Astyanax mexicanus: one gene and its partner. The protein of the gene in region 1 interacts with the protein of each later gene in a biochemical or structural test. Links are inferred from orthologs where the notes say so. Each region holds a gene or a part of one and is shown on either strand. Other genes may lie near its edges.

Region 1 (7,265 bases):
ATTTATATTTATACAGTAACAAGCAGAAATTCAACTGTGACTAATTTAACCTGACTGCATGTTCATTAACTTAATTTGTTAAATAAAAAGAAGACTTATTTGAAAAATAATTTAGTAAATCTGTGGGATCATACTGCTGCGTTTAGTAGTTCGTTTAGAAATGAACTAATTTGTCATTAGGTTATGCATATACGCATAGTTATGCGTTGTTTATATAATTATTTATGACACGCTGGGTATAACAATCGGCAATACAAAACATTTTTTTTAAATGGCAAATATTTTATGTTAGTCAAACTATTCGAACGTTTTGGAGTTAATTTAAATATAAGAAAAAAAGATATATGAAGACGAACAAATAAACTGACTAAGTTAAAGCGACATTTAGTTGTGCTTATAAAAATAAAATACAATTTAAATTAATATTTAAAGTAAATGCTCTTTGAAATATATATGTTATGATTAAATTGTTAAAAACAGATGAGAGCCTTTAAAAAAAAGATCAGACGAGAGCAGGTGTGTGTATAAATAAGTATTTCTTTATTAATCCACATTCACTCACTGAAGAAGTATAAATATAAACGTCGGACACAACAAACTCCTCACACAGGCAGCATTAAATACAAAGTTTGATCACTTCTCCTTTTAACAAAACAGCTCTTATATACACATATACAAAACTGGTCCTCTACTTCTCATAGATGAAGTGTTTTCTCACATGAACAATCAGGAAATCGTAAAAGATGAAGGAGACAGAAAGAAGAGGTTCAACAAGGGAAGATATGGTCACAATATTGCAGCTGACAATCATATAAATAAAAGGTTTTAAGAAACTGACTTCGGCAGAGCCATCGATACCATGGAATTTTATATTTTCTACAGAAAAAAGATAGAATAAAAAGATACAAAATAGTAAAGGACAAGAAAAAGAAAGAAAGAAAGAAAGAAAGAAAGAAAAAGTCCGAACAACAAGAAATAAATACAAATACAATAATGAAGAAAGAATGTATAAAAGTACAAAGAAAGAGTGAAGAGAATGAAAGAAAAACCTAAATGAATATCATCTGAAAAAAGATCGGACTAAAAACAGAAGGACAATAAATAAAAAGAAAAGTGTGGAAATACAGGAAAGAACGAAGAAAGAAAAGTTTGGAAGGAAGAAATAAAGGAAAAAGAAACCAGGAAAATAAAGGAAAGAAAAAATAAAATAAAAATAAAGATCCAGGAAAGACTAAATGAATTAAAATGAAGATAGTGTGAGAAAAGAGAACGAAAGAAAGGATAAAGGTAAAAATTTATGTTCTCCCACTTCTGTTCTCCCGCACAGGAACAGCACAGTCCTGAAGGCTCCTGTACACCGCGCGCGCGTGTGTGTATGTATGTATGAGTGTGTGCATGTCTGTGTGTGTGTTCTACAGGACTTGGTACACGGCGTTCCCGGGGGAGGGAGTGCTCGGTACCGTCTCGCTGAGCGCGGGCGCATCGTGCGGAGAACGCGGGCTGCTGGTGCTGCTGCAGTCCGACGGCTCGTGCGTCGCGAGCGGCTGACATGCGGGCGCTTCCGTGGAAATTCGCTCCACGATGCTGGAGAGACAGTCCAGACTGGACACTACTGTGGATTTACTGCTCCGCACATCTACTGGAGAAATGAGAAAGAATCAGATGTTATTTTTTGTAGTTGTTGATTCACTTGAATATATTATTATAAAATGTCTCGTGACGTTTCATGCTTGATTATTTATTTGGGGTGGTATCTTACCGTTTTGACTCTCGTTGAAGTAGGAACTGTCATAGCTGTTTCTTCTTCTAGATGGACATGATAGGCCGTTGAAATCCATCTGAAAGAAAATATAAATACATCAATTAAATGGAATCAACAAAACAAAATATTTTAGAGTTATAGGCAATATAGTCTAAATAATATTATTATTGTAATATAAAGTAACAAAAGAGTAACTAAAAAAGAGTTGACACTAGAGTCTGGTTTAGTTGATCAAAGTGACAGCTCCTGACAGTAAAAGTCTTTAGAGATCTCAGATTCCTCACCATGCCGTCGGAGCAGTTGGACCTGGGGCTGGACGCGTCCGAGTCCCCGCTGTACTGATCCAGGACCGGGTAGTAGGAGTCCTCCTGGCTGCGCAGCAGAGCTTGCAGGGACTCGATGTAGCTGATGGCGTTTCTCAGGATCTCCACCTTTGGCAGCCTCTGGTTGGGGTTGGCCGACGTGCATCGCTTCAGCGTCTCGAAGGCGTCGTTCACTTTGCTCAGGCGCCTCCTCTCCCGCATGGTGGCGGCCTTCCGCCGGTCCGCGTTCGTCGTCTTCCTCTTGCAAGCCTTGCACGCCCACAGGAGACACCTGCCCGCCTGGTGGTGGCCACTGGGCGCGCGCACGTGCTCGTCCTCCGCGTGGCCGTGCTCGTCCGGTTTGAGCAGACTCACGTGCACGAGCCGTGGGTCAAGGTCCTCGAAGAAATGCATGTCGTTGGTGTTGAAGCACGGGTCGTCGTAGAAGTCGTCCGCGGACGGGATGGGGAACGGGATATCCGACAGCTCCATCTCTCTTTTTTCTGACCCCCCAAAAAACCAAAGTGATGAAACTTTTTTTAAGTGTGTAAAATAAGGTAGGAGTTGAGCCAACACTCCAGAGAGCCTCCAATGCGCTCAGACACTTTCTGTCAGGTTTCTGTCCTGTTTAAACACACACTCTTAATGTCTGCAGTGAGTGAAAGACAAGAGAGAGGGAATGAGTGAGTGTTGCAGGTAGGGCTCCACCAACTCCTGTCCCAGTGCAGCCTGCAGCTACTTGTTGCTGAGGAGGCGAAAAGGCCAGTTTATATGGGCCGGCAGCTGGGTGGGGAGTGGCCTTGGCCTGAACCGCAGGCCAATAAACGCCCTGGCCGAGGCGATGGGGGGCTGGAAGGGGTCGTTTGTGCCGGACGAACACTAAAGACAACAATAAAGGTTAGAGTGAAAAATTTGTCAGATTTGAAAAACTCAGAATTTAAGAATTGGAAGACTGAAAAATAATGCTGAGAATCTTAAAACATACCTGGAGATTGAAATTTAGTCTATGGTTTACTTGAATTAATATGAATAAGAAAAGAAATTAAACTTTTTCATAATATTTTTTACATAGCAAATCCTGTAAGCAACCAAAATATGCTGTGTGTGTTTCTTAGTAAGTCTGACTTCTAAGAAACACATAATGTAAGCGCATGGAAGCGCACAATATATGCAGTGAAATGGTCTATATTTATATGTAGTACATAAGTTAATATATACTAAAATGTTTTAAACTGAGTTGGCTTTAATATATCATTCTAATACTGAAACTCCACCACCCATTTAATTCTGTTTTTATTTTCTAATTCCGGAACACACACTTCCAAACAACCCCTGAGACTCTGAAGCAGCAAATCCTTTAGTATTACATTACATTCGATACATTACACAGCTACAAAAAGTGGGCACGTAAAGCAAGGTTAAATATTTTGACTGTAGTGTCTGCTATAAGTACAGATCATCTACACTACTGGAATATCTATTCTATCTTAGCTTTCTTTCTTTTTTTCTCTGATTAATATTTGCTGAGAAGTCTAATTAGTACAGACAAAGTTATTTTAGTCAGACCTCTAAGAAAAGAATACATGAATAAATCAAAAAATTCTGACAGGGGAAATTCATTTTAGGAGTTCATTCGGTTCATAGGCTACTTATAACATGTACTAGCCTACTGTATTTAGTTTGTCTCAGAAATAGAAGCCAACAGTGCCATGGGTCCACCAACAGATGGCAGTAATGAGCCAGTGAGCCACCGGGAGAGAGGCCTGGGTTATAATCCCATTTACAAGTGACAAAATCACAGCTTTCACAGCTCCTTTTTAACAAGGAATAATCTTAACAGAGTTATCTCTCTGGTGTTTAAGAAACTGTTGCCCCACTATTAAATCATACTTGAGACTTTAATTTAACAGTTTCAATAGATTTTATTGGTTTATGGCTTAAATCCTACATAAAACACACACATGAACACAAAGAAAAGTAACAGTGCAAAGAAGGAAACTCTTGTCTTCCACACATACAAACACAATACAAACACGCAGAACCCATCACAAAACACGCTTTAAAAGCAACAGAAATGATTAAAAATACTTCTAAAAAAATAGGTGGAGTGTGAGATTAAAAATCTAAACCTCCAATACACAATCCAGACCAAAACATTTAATCAGTGTCAGTCAAAAAATATAACAATGAATCAAATTCTGTCTATAAAATACTGCATAATTTTTTTTCATATAGGGCACTTCTTAATGTAAAACAGCAAGTTTTGTTCCACTCTACAGGCTTTTTGTTTTTACAAAAACACATTCATAGTCACTAAAAAACATATCAAACTTGTCAAAATTTCTCTTAGTCATTCATTTTTAATAATCTCTCCCGTGTTTTTAGCACTTCTTTTGACAATATGGGAAATTCACATTATTTTCCACTTGCTCAGTACTTTTCAGCTGTGGGGAAAGGTAATACCAAGCTTCAAGAACACGCCATTCAAGAAACCCACAAATCATCTCTTTCATGCCACAAACAGAACACACTCCATGCAGGCTGAGCACGGGATCTAACAGTGCAGAAAGTATTGATAGGAAATAACTGCTAGTCAGGCCATTAATGCATCAACAAGGGGCTTTACAGGACATTTAGGCACTGGCCAGCTCCTCATAGAGCTGGTCAATGAGGTACTCTCCATATCCTCCAGCACCATCACTGGTGCAGCCCAGTCTTCGAGCATTGGTCAAGAGGTCACCTAGCAGCTTGATCTTTGGTGCGAGAGGCTGGAGGAAGTGGCTCTTGAGGACACTGGCAGAGTGGGGGTCTCCATGTTCACGTGCTAGCTGAGACAGCTCCACCATGATGGCCATCTCCTCCTTCCACTGGCCCAGCAGGAGTTCCAGGGCAGGGAGCAGCGCACACACCTGCTCTGTCCCTGGTCTCTGCATAGCACACACACACACACACACACACACACACACACACACACACACACACACACACACACACACACACACACACACACACACACAAACTGCTCAGATGTGTAGTTCTACTAATTTTAAAACTAACAGCGAATGTATAGACAAGCAATACTGTATCGCTTAAAAAAACAGTATTGATTTTTAATCACTGGTTTCTATGTAAAGATTGGAGACAGTCAGTGGTTCATGTTGTGTTTAAACCCTATCCACAATCTCTGATTTTAGATCCCACTGTCTTGATTGCATTCAAATATAAAACTTTTCTTTATCTCAGACTTTATAAATGATAGTGTTTTTATACTATTTGTACCATTTTTACTATCAATTTAAATCTATTGCATGTACTTATTAAAAATATCTGTATGGCTAAAATAATAATATATATTTTTTTATATGCATACAATTTCACAATCAAGCAACTCAACCAGCTCCATTTAAACTCACTCACGCCTTCGTCTCTCCATGCATCAGCGGATAACAAGGTGTTCCAAATTGCTGCTGATGGACCCTCACCAGCCTCACTCCGGATCAATTTTACATGAGTCATAAAACTAGGGAAGAGGAGGAGGTTGGAAAAAAAGAGAGGACCCAGGCTGAAGTGGCAGCAGAGCCAGTGCCATAGTGTACATCTGGAACTACAATTAATGCACTGTCCTTCCGCTTTCACATTAATCTCCCCAATTTTCCGGAACTCAGGGAAAACGTATACCCTGACAGGCATTAGAGAAGAGATCCCTGCAAAGCCCACAGGGGTTTATCCTCCTCTCTCTCTCTGACCCCTTTTCCTCCTAAACTGCTGGCCTATCCAGTCAAGAGCCCCTCCAAAAAATATTTTTAAAGGTACAGAGGTAATATGATGAGGATACAATGTTGGCAGTAACTGTGGGCAGTAAAATAATCCTGCAGATCTGTGAAAACTTTTGTTTCCTAACAGTGAGACCGAAAAAGTGATAAAAAGTGAAGAATCAAAACCTGAAAAGGGGCATTCTACTATTATTTTATAAAGAAGACAAGAAACATCTTTATTCACCATATTTCACAGTAACACTACAGCACATGATATGCTGGGCATAGACAGCAAGGTTTACCTGGATATCTTTGCTGCAGTATTGTCCTCCACGCTCGGACAGGTAGTGTAGCATGGCTTCCGCCTGCTCCTGCTCTCTTGTGGACTCCAGATAGAAATATGCAGCCACACGTGGCAAAGCCAGGTCATCTTGCTCAAAAATCTTGGCCTGAAATATACAATACCCACAATTTATTCCGTTCAATTCTGAACAGAGGACAGTACCATAACATCTTACTGTCACTACCTCTAAAGTGGCATTTTTATAGGAAAGAAAGAAATAAAAACCTAATTTTTATTATTTGTATTCATTTTTGTAGACCATTTTGAAGCATTTCTGAAAGCCATTTGACTTAACATGCCTTCATTAATTCATTATGAAATGTTGAATGTCTGTGCCACTGCAACGAAAACATCTGCTCCAGCTTCCTTAGTTGAGCTTAATATTCGCTTACATTTTATACAACTAATATTTAATGTGGCACATAATGAACACAGGAGTGATTTTTTTAAACTAGCACTACGATTACTTTGTAATTTGGTATTGTAGATACTTAATTTTGATTATCAAGAATAATCAAGGTTATTCAATGTATGGTATAGTTTAGAGCTTAGGGCCCCTGTAGGCCAAACAAGGAAGTGCTCATAACACTGGCAGTAGAAACAATATTAGGATGAAAACTCAATAAATTATAACTGATGCAAAACTCATTAAAATACAGACTGTGTAATATTTAAGTAGGTGACTTTGCAGAAGCGAGGAAGTCGTCCTTGTCTTTTCTTTGTCCGCTGTTCTGGTATATCTAGCTCAGTTAAACAGGCTGGTAGGAGACCATTTAATGAATTCACTTAGTTTCAAAGCTTCAGTCATTCCAAATGACTGGCCCAGTATTTATACTTTCATTTATGTATTTTAAAATATTTATTTTCTTTTTTATAGTGAGATCATCTGATTTATTATTATGCTACTGGGATATATAATATTAAAAGAAATTGTTTTCCAAAACAAATCCCTTATTCTAGCTTAATTTTTTTTTTTTTTTTTTTTTTTTTTACGTATTTTTCGATGAAATGAAATTTAAATGTTAAACCCTGTCTAAAATTAAATGATTGCTGTGGAAAGGGGTTATCATGTACAATGTTGCTGGGCCTTCTCACACTTCAAA
Region 2 (7,324 bases), on another chromosome or scaffold:
TACTAAACTTATATATGAATATATTTGACTAACAATGAGACAATAAATACCAGAGTAATAAATAAAGTTATTTAGCTTTTGTAAAACGTGACCTAAAACAAGGTCACAAATGATTTAAAGAGTTGAAATAGAGCTACTATACATTACTCATCTTATGCGTTACTTCTCTTATGATCTTTAATGTGCCACACGGCGCTGAAGATGCAAAACTGTGGCAGAATTGTAATTGTGTAGGAAATATAGTCATATAAAAATAAAGTTTAGTTTAGTAAAAGTGAACTTCAGCAAAGATTTTAATATAAAATATAGGCTGGGGAGTTTCGATGGGATCATGAAGTGTTTAGAATCCTAAAAAAGGGGTCTCACAGTAAAGAAAGATTAACAACCTCTAATCTAAACAAAGACATCCTGCCCTGTGAAATACCCTCCAGGACTAAGTTTAATAAACAAGGCTTTAGAAGACAGGTTAGAAATGGTTGAAGTACCTGAGAAGAGCATTCTGTTTCGTCTGCCTTTATGTTGTCTGCACTTCTTTCCTTCTCACGGTTACGTATCTCGGGGCTAGCCGCACTGATCAGCATCTTTAGATTAGAAGTAGGGGTCCAGGGCTCCCCTGTAGGAGCGTCCGGGCCTTTAGTGGGCGTTGTTAGGGGACCCATTATTTTCAGATTTTCCAGAGGGGCAGATTTCCCCGAGGTTTTCCCGGGTGTCTGCGGTTCCACAAACACACCCGTTTTCTGTAAATAATGAAGCCAGAGTTCGGTTGTTAGTGCACAATAACAATAACGGAATTTTTAATGCAGACTGGCTGGTTTATACAATAAAAAGTAAGGGCAGGGCTGCATACTGTAGGCTAAAATGAAGATAACAATCAGATAACTAAACATTTAGCTCAATATTAAATAACTGCCTGAACTATTATCAAATAGAAATATATCTTTAATCAGGGGTTGATATTTCACAGTTATCCCATTATATAAAATAAACAGTCAGAACAATTCTGTTACTATAAATTAAAACTTGGTATGTTTAATGTTTCAAGTAAGTATGAAGGAGACTTTATTGCCATGTACATCACATGCGGAACATGGGGTGGAACAAAATTGCTTTCTCAAGGTCCGGTTTTCCCACAACAGAGCAGTTATTATGAAGAATATAATAAAATATAATAAAGAAAAGCAAATATGAAGTAAAGAATAAATTAGAAAAATAGTTTTTAAAAAGTGTGTACCATTATTACTTTTTTCCCATTTAATATAGTAAAGAACAAATGAGTTTTGACTAAATTGTATTTTTTTTTTCTTTTCTGGAATAATTTTCAGGAACAGTTAAATCATTTATTTTCTTTAGATTTTCTATTTTTTCCTCTTTTGCAGAATATTAACCTGATAATTATTACACTGACCCACGAATGATGGAGATGTTACATAAAAGTACACAATATTTATCTAAAGAGTGTGGATTTACAAAAGTGATGATTTTTGACTAAGGGAATGTTCTTTCCTTCCACAAACTCTGAATATAATTCTCTTCACACACAGTCACTATACACAGCCATTAGCAGCTCATCAGCTCATTTACTGACCTTCTCATTAGCTGCTGCTGATTTGTTGGGGCTCGTTTGGGGGAGCTGGGTTAAGTGCTGGCCGTTTAGTAAGGTGCTGGACATTTTCCACCTACGTGTGTTGAGAAAGAAGAATTGATCGTTAGGAAAAATACTAGTATTAATCACTTATAACTAACATATCAGTGCCATTATTAGCAAATCTGAGATTTTAAATAGAACAGGGAAGATAACTGTATGAGTTATCTAGGTTACAAACAAGAAATACCTTTTTTTTACAGCGTTATATAACCTGGGAGAAAGCATCGTGCACCCCTATGAGAACTGAATTAGTTCAGGTTTATTAAAATCTTATATAAAACTGTTTGTATTTTTCGTAAATCAAAGTTATTTTGATTTCAAATGACCGGGAGCCGACTGGCGCTAACTGACACCCGATCCGACGAATCACGCAGCAGCACTACGCGGATGCACACGCCCTTCCACTACAATCAGCCAATTGCTGACAGGGCACGGACACGTGAGCCCGCCCCCCGCGAAGAAGCCAGCCAATAGGTGCGCGACAAAGGGCGGGTTTTCGGACAGTCGCGCGCAGGCTCTCACCTTTTTAAAATCTTGGCGCGGAATTTCGCAATCGGAACGGAAGAAGATATTAGCGGCTAAAAACAGCATAAAACAACTAAACTAAAGCATATATTGGCGCAGATTAGATTGTACTGCTAATAAACTCGATATTTAACAAGAAATAAGCGCTTAAACTGTATTAATTTGTACAAAAACTAGTGGTTTGGAGCCTCGCAGAGCGCAGGACACCAGAAACACAGCAGCTCAAAACCAGGATAATAAATACCTGCAGATAAGTTCCGTACAGATCTAAAGTTACTTAACTAACTGCTGAGCTAGTCAACTAAAACTCTACTAAATATAACATAGCTTACGTAACTTACACTGCGGTATGTTTATTATTAACCAGGTATAAATATCGAAACGAACTGCTAGCGTTAACCTAGCTGAGTTTTTATTAAACACAGAGAGGCGGTAACTTTTATAATGTTAAAATAGCTTTAAAACGCTGGATCCTACAGCAACAGCCAGCAAGTTCACTGATAAACTAGTTATTACTGAGTAGTGAAGCTAGCTAACGCTATCTAGGTTAGCTAGTAAGTAGTTAACGTAGTTGTTTAACGTTACTCCGCAAATGTAATCTAACCCAGCTAGTTAGCTAGCTTTACGTAGTTAGGTTAAATAAAACTTTGTGTTCATTCTGTGTTACACAGATAGCTTAAATAGCCTTACTAGCTAACTAATTATAAGTTACTCCCTTCTGTAAAAGCATTCATAGGCTAGCTATGGGTGACTATAAAGCTCTTTAGTATGTTTTATATATAAACTAGCTCGCTAGCTTATTAGGTTAACATACCTGAGTCAGCAGTAGACTGTACAGGAGAAACGGTCCGACCAGAATGCAGGAAAGAAGGCAAATTAATCCATAAGAACGGCAGATAGATTCCACCTCTTGTAGATTTAGCTCAAATAATTTAGTGCAAGAATATCTCCGCAGATTCCACACAGGTAACTCAACCTACAGTATGTTAGATCAGTCCTCCAGCTGTGCTTCTCTGTACAGCGCTACAGTAAAGCTGGCTGTAAATAAATACGGATTTCTCCAGTTTTAGTGATTTTCCAGCGCGCTGAGGGTCCTGGTTCGGTTTTCCCGGGTATATGAAGGTCCTGGTTCGATTTTCCCGGGTATATGAAGGTCCTGGTTCGGTTTTCCCGGGTGTCTGTGTATATGTGCGCGCTCCTTTGCCCGCGTCCCGCTCTGAATTTGCCGGGCAGATCTGACCCGCCCATAACTCCGCCCACACCCCGCCCCCACACACGTACACGTACACCCAGAGGATAAAAGTACATATTTACTAAGTACATAAAGTTCTGAACAGGGTCGAGTGTTGTGTCCAGTTATGTCACATATCGATATGTGCTTCTTTTAATGCTTCCTCATGTTTTTAATGAATGTTAGTTATTATGCATACATTGTAAGTTAATTACATTTCTTTTTTGTGATATCAGTTACTTTGCACAATAATTTAACATTTCTTTGATAAAACAGGTTTATATTTACTCTACTATTATTTATTTTTTTATTGACCAAAATTATTGATTTGAAAATTAGCTGGAAAAAGACATTTCTACTAAATGAACAGCATTAAAGTTCAACACAGACAACACTGAGTTAGCAGCTCAGAACCTAATGCTGGTTTTAACAGCAGACAACTAGTAATACATACACATAATATATCATCTACACGTTTACATAAGGTAGCTTAGGGAATGGCTACACACAGCGTCAGAAACTGTGGTACACGCCCAGTTTGTATAAACATGGTGGCAGAACAGAAGTTGAATCAACTGAAGCTGCCACTGGCAACAGAATACATTCAGTTATTATAAAATAATTCAACTCATGTGAGTTATTGTGAATACATATGTGGCTGCGAATGTTTACCAAACTCAAAGTAGTTGAGCAATGTTTGTAAATATAAGTATGATATGACATAACACAGACTTACTTCATTTGAGCTCAAACAAACTGTGGGTTTATAGTGTAATAGTTAACTATATATCCTTTTAGGGTGTCGTCATTTTTTCTGTTTTCATAAAGTACAGTGCATCTTTAATCCAGTGTGTGGGAGCAGGAGCATTTTTCCCCCAATGCATCAAAATGAGCCACCTCGTTACACAAATTAAAATGCTACCAATGTGGATTTTTTTGTGTTTAGATAGAATGAAAGTAGCTGGAAGAACTCCTAACACTGTGAGGACTGGAGAGAGATCAATGTGCACTTGCAGTAAGTATAAAAGGGATATAAATATTGAGCTCTACCAGGATTTGTAATAAATAATTCCAGAACATATTAGAATGATATACAAATTGGGCGGGGCCTGATGGTATCTGTCACCATTGTAAATATTGAGATTTTTAATGTAATCTAAAGTAAAAATTGCTGTATGAGTAAAGGCTTCAGTACAGATGAGAGATATAACTGAGTATATTTTAGGAAGATGGCCTAATCTGTGTGTGTGTGTGTGTGTGTGTGTGTGTGTGCGTTCAGTGCTCTGAAAGATGAACATATATAAGAGAGGTCCCTGAGAGCCAGAGGCAGACAGAGAGCCAGGCCGAGCCTCTAGGGTGATTCTGGACCTCCTGTTCCGCTGGTCTGTAAGTACTGTAGTCACTGTTTGTGTAAATTTGACTGATTACTTTGATGTTTTAACAGTAAAGTTTATAAAATATAACATTAGTTGCTTAATTTCTCTCTTAGTTAGATTGTATTTGCCTATTTAGTACCATTGTATTTGGTACCTCTTTACACATGTATTCCTATTACTGTTTGTAGTCACTTTTTGATTGATTGACTGGAATTTTAAACAGATAAGAGTTATGTTTTAAATGTGAATAGCTTTAATTGCATTTACACTTAACTGTAATTAACCCTTTCAGACTCTGCATCCATTACAATCCATTACCCTCCATTTATGTTTTGTTGCACATAACACTATTTGAGAGCTGTTGTGCAACAGAATAGACCATGAACCAATAAAACAGTAAACCAATAAACCAATGAAATAGTAGCCTGGTAGTACTAGAGCCATTAAAGCAAAGTAGCTGCTAATTTAAATGGTTACTAATAATCATGTTTTATTTTTTACTGTTTAGGGATGGTTTATGAAACAAAATAGTTAATATGAAATACCAAATATTACACAATAGGATTTATTTGCTGTATAGATTTTATAGTAGAATATTAAATACTTATTTTCTGTGCACTACAGACAAAAACAGCATTCATACATTTTTACATCACTGGAGATAATTCAGGTCTGAAACCGTTCATATATTAAATAATACCAATAATATTATTGAATGTAATAATATGGATAGTTTAACTCTTAAGAGGTAAATTGTTCAATAGGTGATGATGACTGAAGCTCTAATCACCATCACACTCACTCAAACTCAGATATACTGAAACAGAGGCCAGATCTGTGAGTGTGTGTGTGTGTGTGTGTGTTTTTATCAGCAGTAGCTTCATTGAAGGAACTATTTCTGGATGATTATCAGCACATTCCACAGTGTTGAGGCAGAGAGCAGAAACTCTGACTCACAGTAACAACATAATATATATTTATATTTACAAGACAGCTAATGTCTTGTATTATATCAATCCATGAGTTAACAGTGGATTTCTGAGCTTTATTGATCCTGTCAGTACTGCATTCTAGGCAGGATATTTAATAAAAAATATTAGGTGAGCCATCAGTAATCTTTAGTAGAGTAGAAAAATGATAGATCATCATTTAACAGCAGTAAACAGGGATACGAATCGAGTGTGATTGCATTGATGATGGTAGAGTCTGACCACTGCACAAAGCAGCGCTTCTCCATCCAGCACATCCCAAAGATTCTCAATGAGGTTAAGATCTGGACTCTGTGGTGAACTCTCTCTCAATCCATGTGTGATAAATGATGATCTCCTGCTCCCTGAACCCTGAACTCTTTCACAATTCCAGCTGTATAAATCCTGATATTATCATCTTGGAATATGCTCGTGTTCATCAGGGAAGATAAAATCCATTGATGGAATAACCTGGTCTATATTCAGTATATTCAGGTAGAGTCAGCTGACCTCATTCTTTCAGCACATACTGTTACTGAACTCCAAATGGAGACTTTTTTTGGCCAGGCTCTGTTTTCATTTTACTGTTCTTGTGATGTTACCAAAAGGTTGTTGTAAATCAATTAGGATTAATTATCATAAATTAGGATTAATTCTCATTAAATGATAACGTTGTAGGTGTAGCTTATAGTTTATCATTATTTAAAACTGATTTAAAGTGATAAGATGAATAAATAAATACACTTCATTCATAATGTCTTACACCACATTTCACAAAGAAGTTCATGTAAATAAATCCTGCAGAGGATTATTTTTTTATGTTAATGCATACAGTGCTGTTATCTGAGGATGCTTTTATTTCTGTTCTGATTCCTGTAGATCTAGTCCCTGATCCGAGGATGCCGAACTGGGGCGGGGGTGCTAAGTGTGCAGCCTGTGAGAAAACCGTGTACCACGCTGAGGAAATCCAGTGTAATGGGCGGAGCTTCCACAAACCCTGCTTCATCTGCAGTGAGACACGAGTTCACCTTTTTATACAAGCTGTGATCCTACAAAATCCTGCATAGTCAGAGCTAGGAGTGGGAATCACAGGATATCTCAAGATACGATATTATCACAATACATTTCCCATCATAACGATGATATCACTATACTGTGTTTCTGTGATACTCAAATATTACACTTAAATATTACAGTACAATTCTCTACAATATTCCGTCTTACTGAATAAAATACTCCTACTGGATAAAATACTCCTAAATAATTAAATTCCAGGAATTATGGATTTATTGGTGTCAGTTTTTACAGAACTTGATAACGAATATGACACAATGCACAACAAAGTGCAGAGCTTAGCTTGCTCACATCTCTTTAACACACACACACACACAAACACACTCACACTGACCGCAACTGTTCCATGTCTAGGTATTGTTATTATTATTATTATTATTATTATTATTATTATTATTATTATTTAAACAAAAATACATTACTGCAAAAAAAACTCTTTATTTAAAACCAAAAATTATTAATACAAACTCTCACAGGATAAAGGAGAAAGAAGAGGAAGTCGGGC

Evidence for each region.
Region 2: the proteins of myod1 (region 1) and csrp3 form a complex in vitro, tested with the Homo sapiens proteins (2 studies listed by BioGRID and IntAct, with this or other methods). The link is inferred for Astyanax mexicanus from reciprocal best matches to the Homo sapiens genes MYOD1 and CSRP3.

Annotation. Positions count from the first base shown.
Region 1 is NC_064409.1:62,752,007-62,759,271, forward strand, and holds myod1 (myoblast determination protein 1 homolog), read right to left. Parts: upstream 2,820-7,265; 5' UTR 2,557-2,819; coding exon 2,047-2,556; intron 1,839-2,046; coding exon 1,760-1,838; intron 1,640-1,759; coding exon 1,413-1,639; 3' UTR 518-1,412; downstream 1-517. Other genes in the region: zgc:172145 (ferritin light chain, oocyte isoform-like), read right to left, coding at 4,698-4,991, 6,122-6,268. UniProt on the Homo sapiens protein: Acts as a transcriptional activator that promotes transcription of muscle-specific target genes and plays a role in muscle differentiation. Together with MYF5 and MYOG, co-occupies muscle-specific gene promoter core region during myogenesis.
Region 2 is NC_064423.1:343,319-350,642, forward strand, and holds the start of csrp3 (cysteine and glycine-rich protein 3), read left to right. Parts: upstream 1-4,310; 5' UTR 4,311-4,416; intron 4,417-4,680; 5' UTR 4,681-4,787; intron 4,788-6,624; 5' UTR 6,625-6,644; coding exon 6,645-6,756; intron 6,757-7,324. Other genes in the region: transcription factor E2F8, read right to left, coding at 486-737, 1,586-1,669. UniProt on the Homo sapiens protein: Positive regulator of myogenesis. Acts as a cofactor for myogenic bHLH transcription factors such as MYOD1, and probably MYOG and MYF6.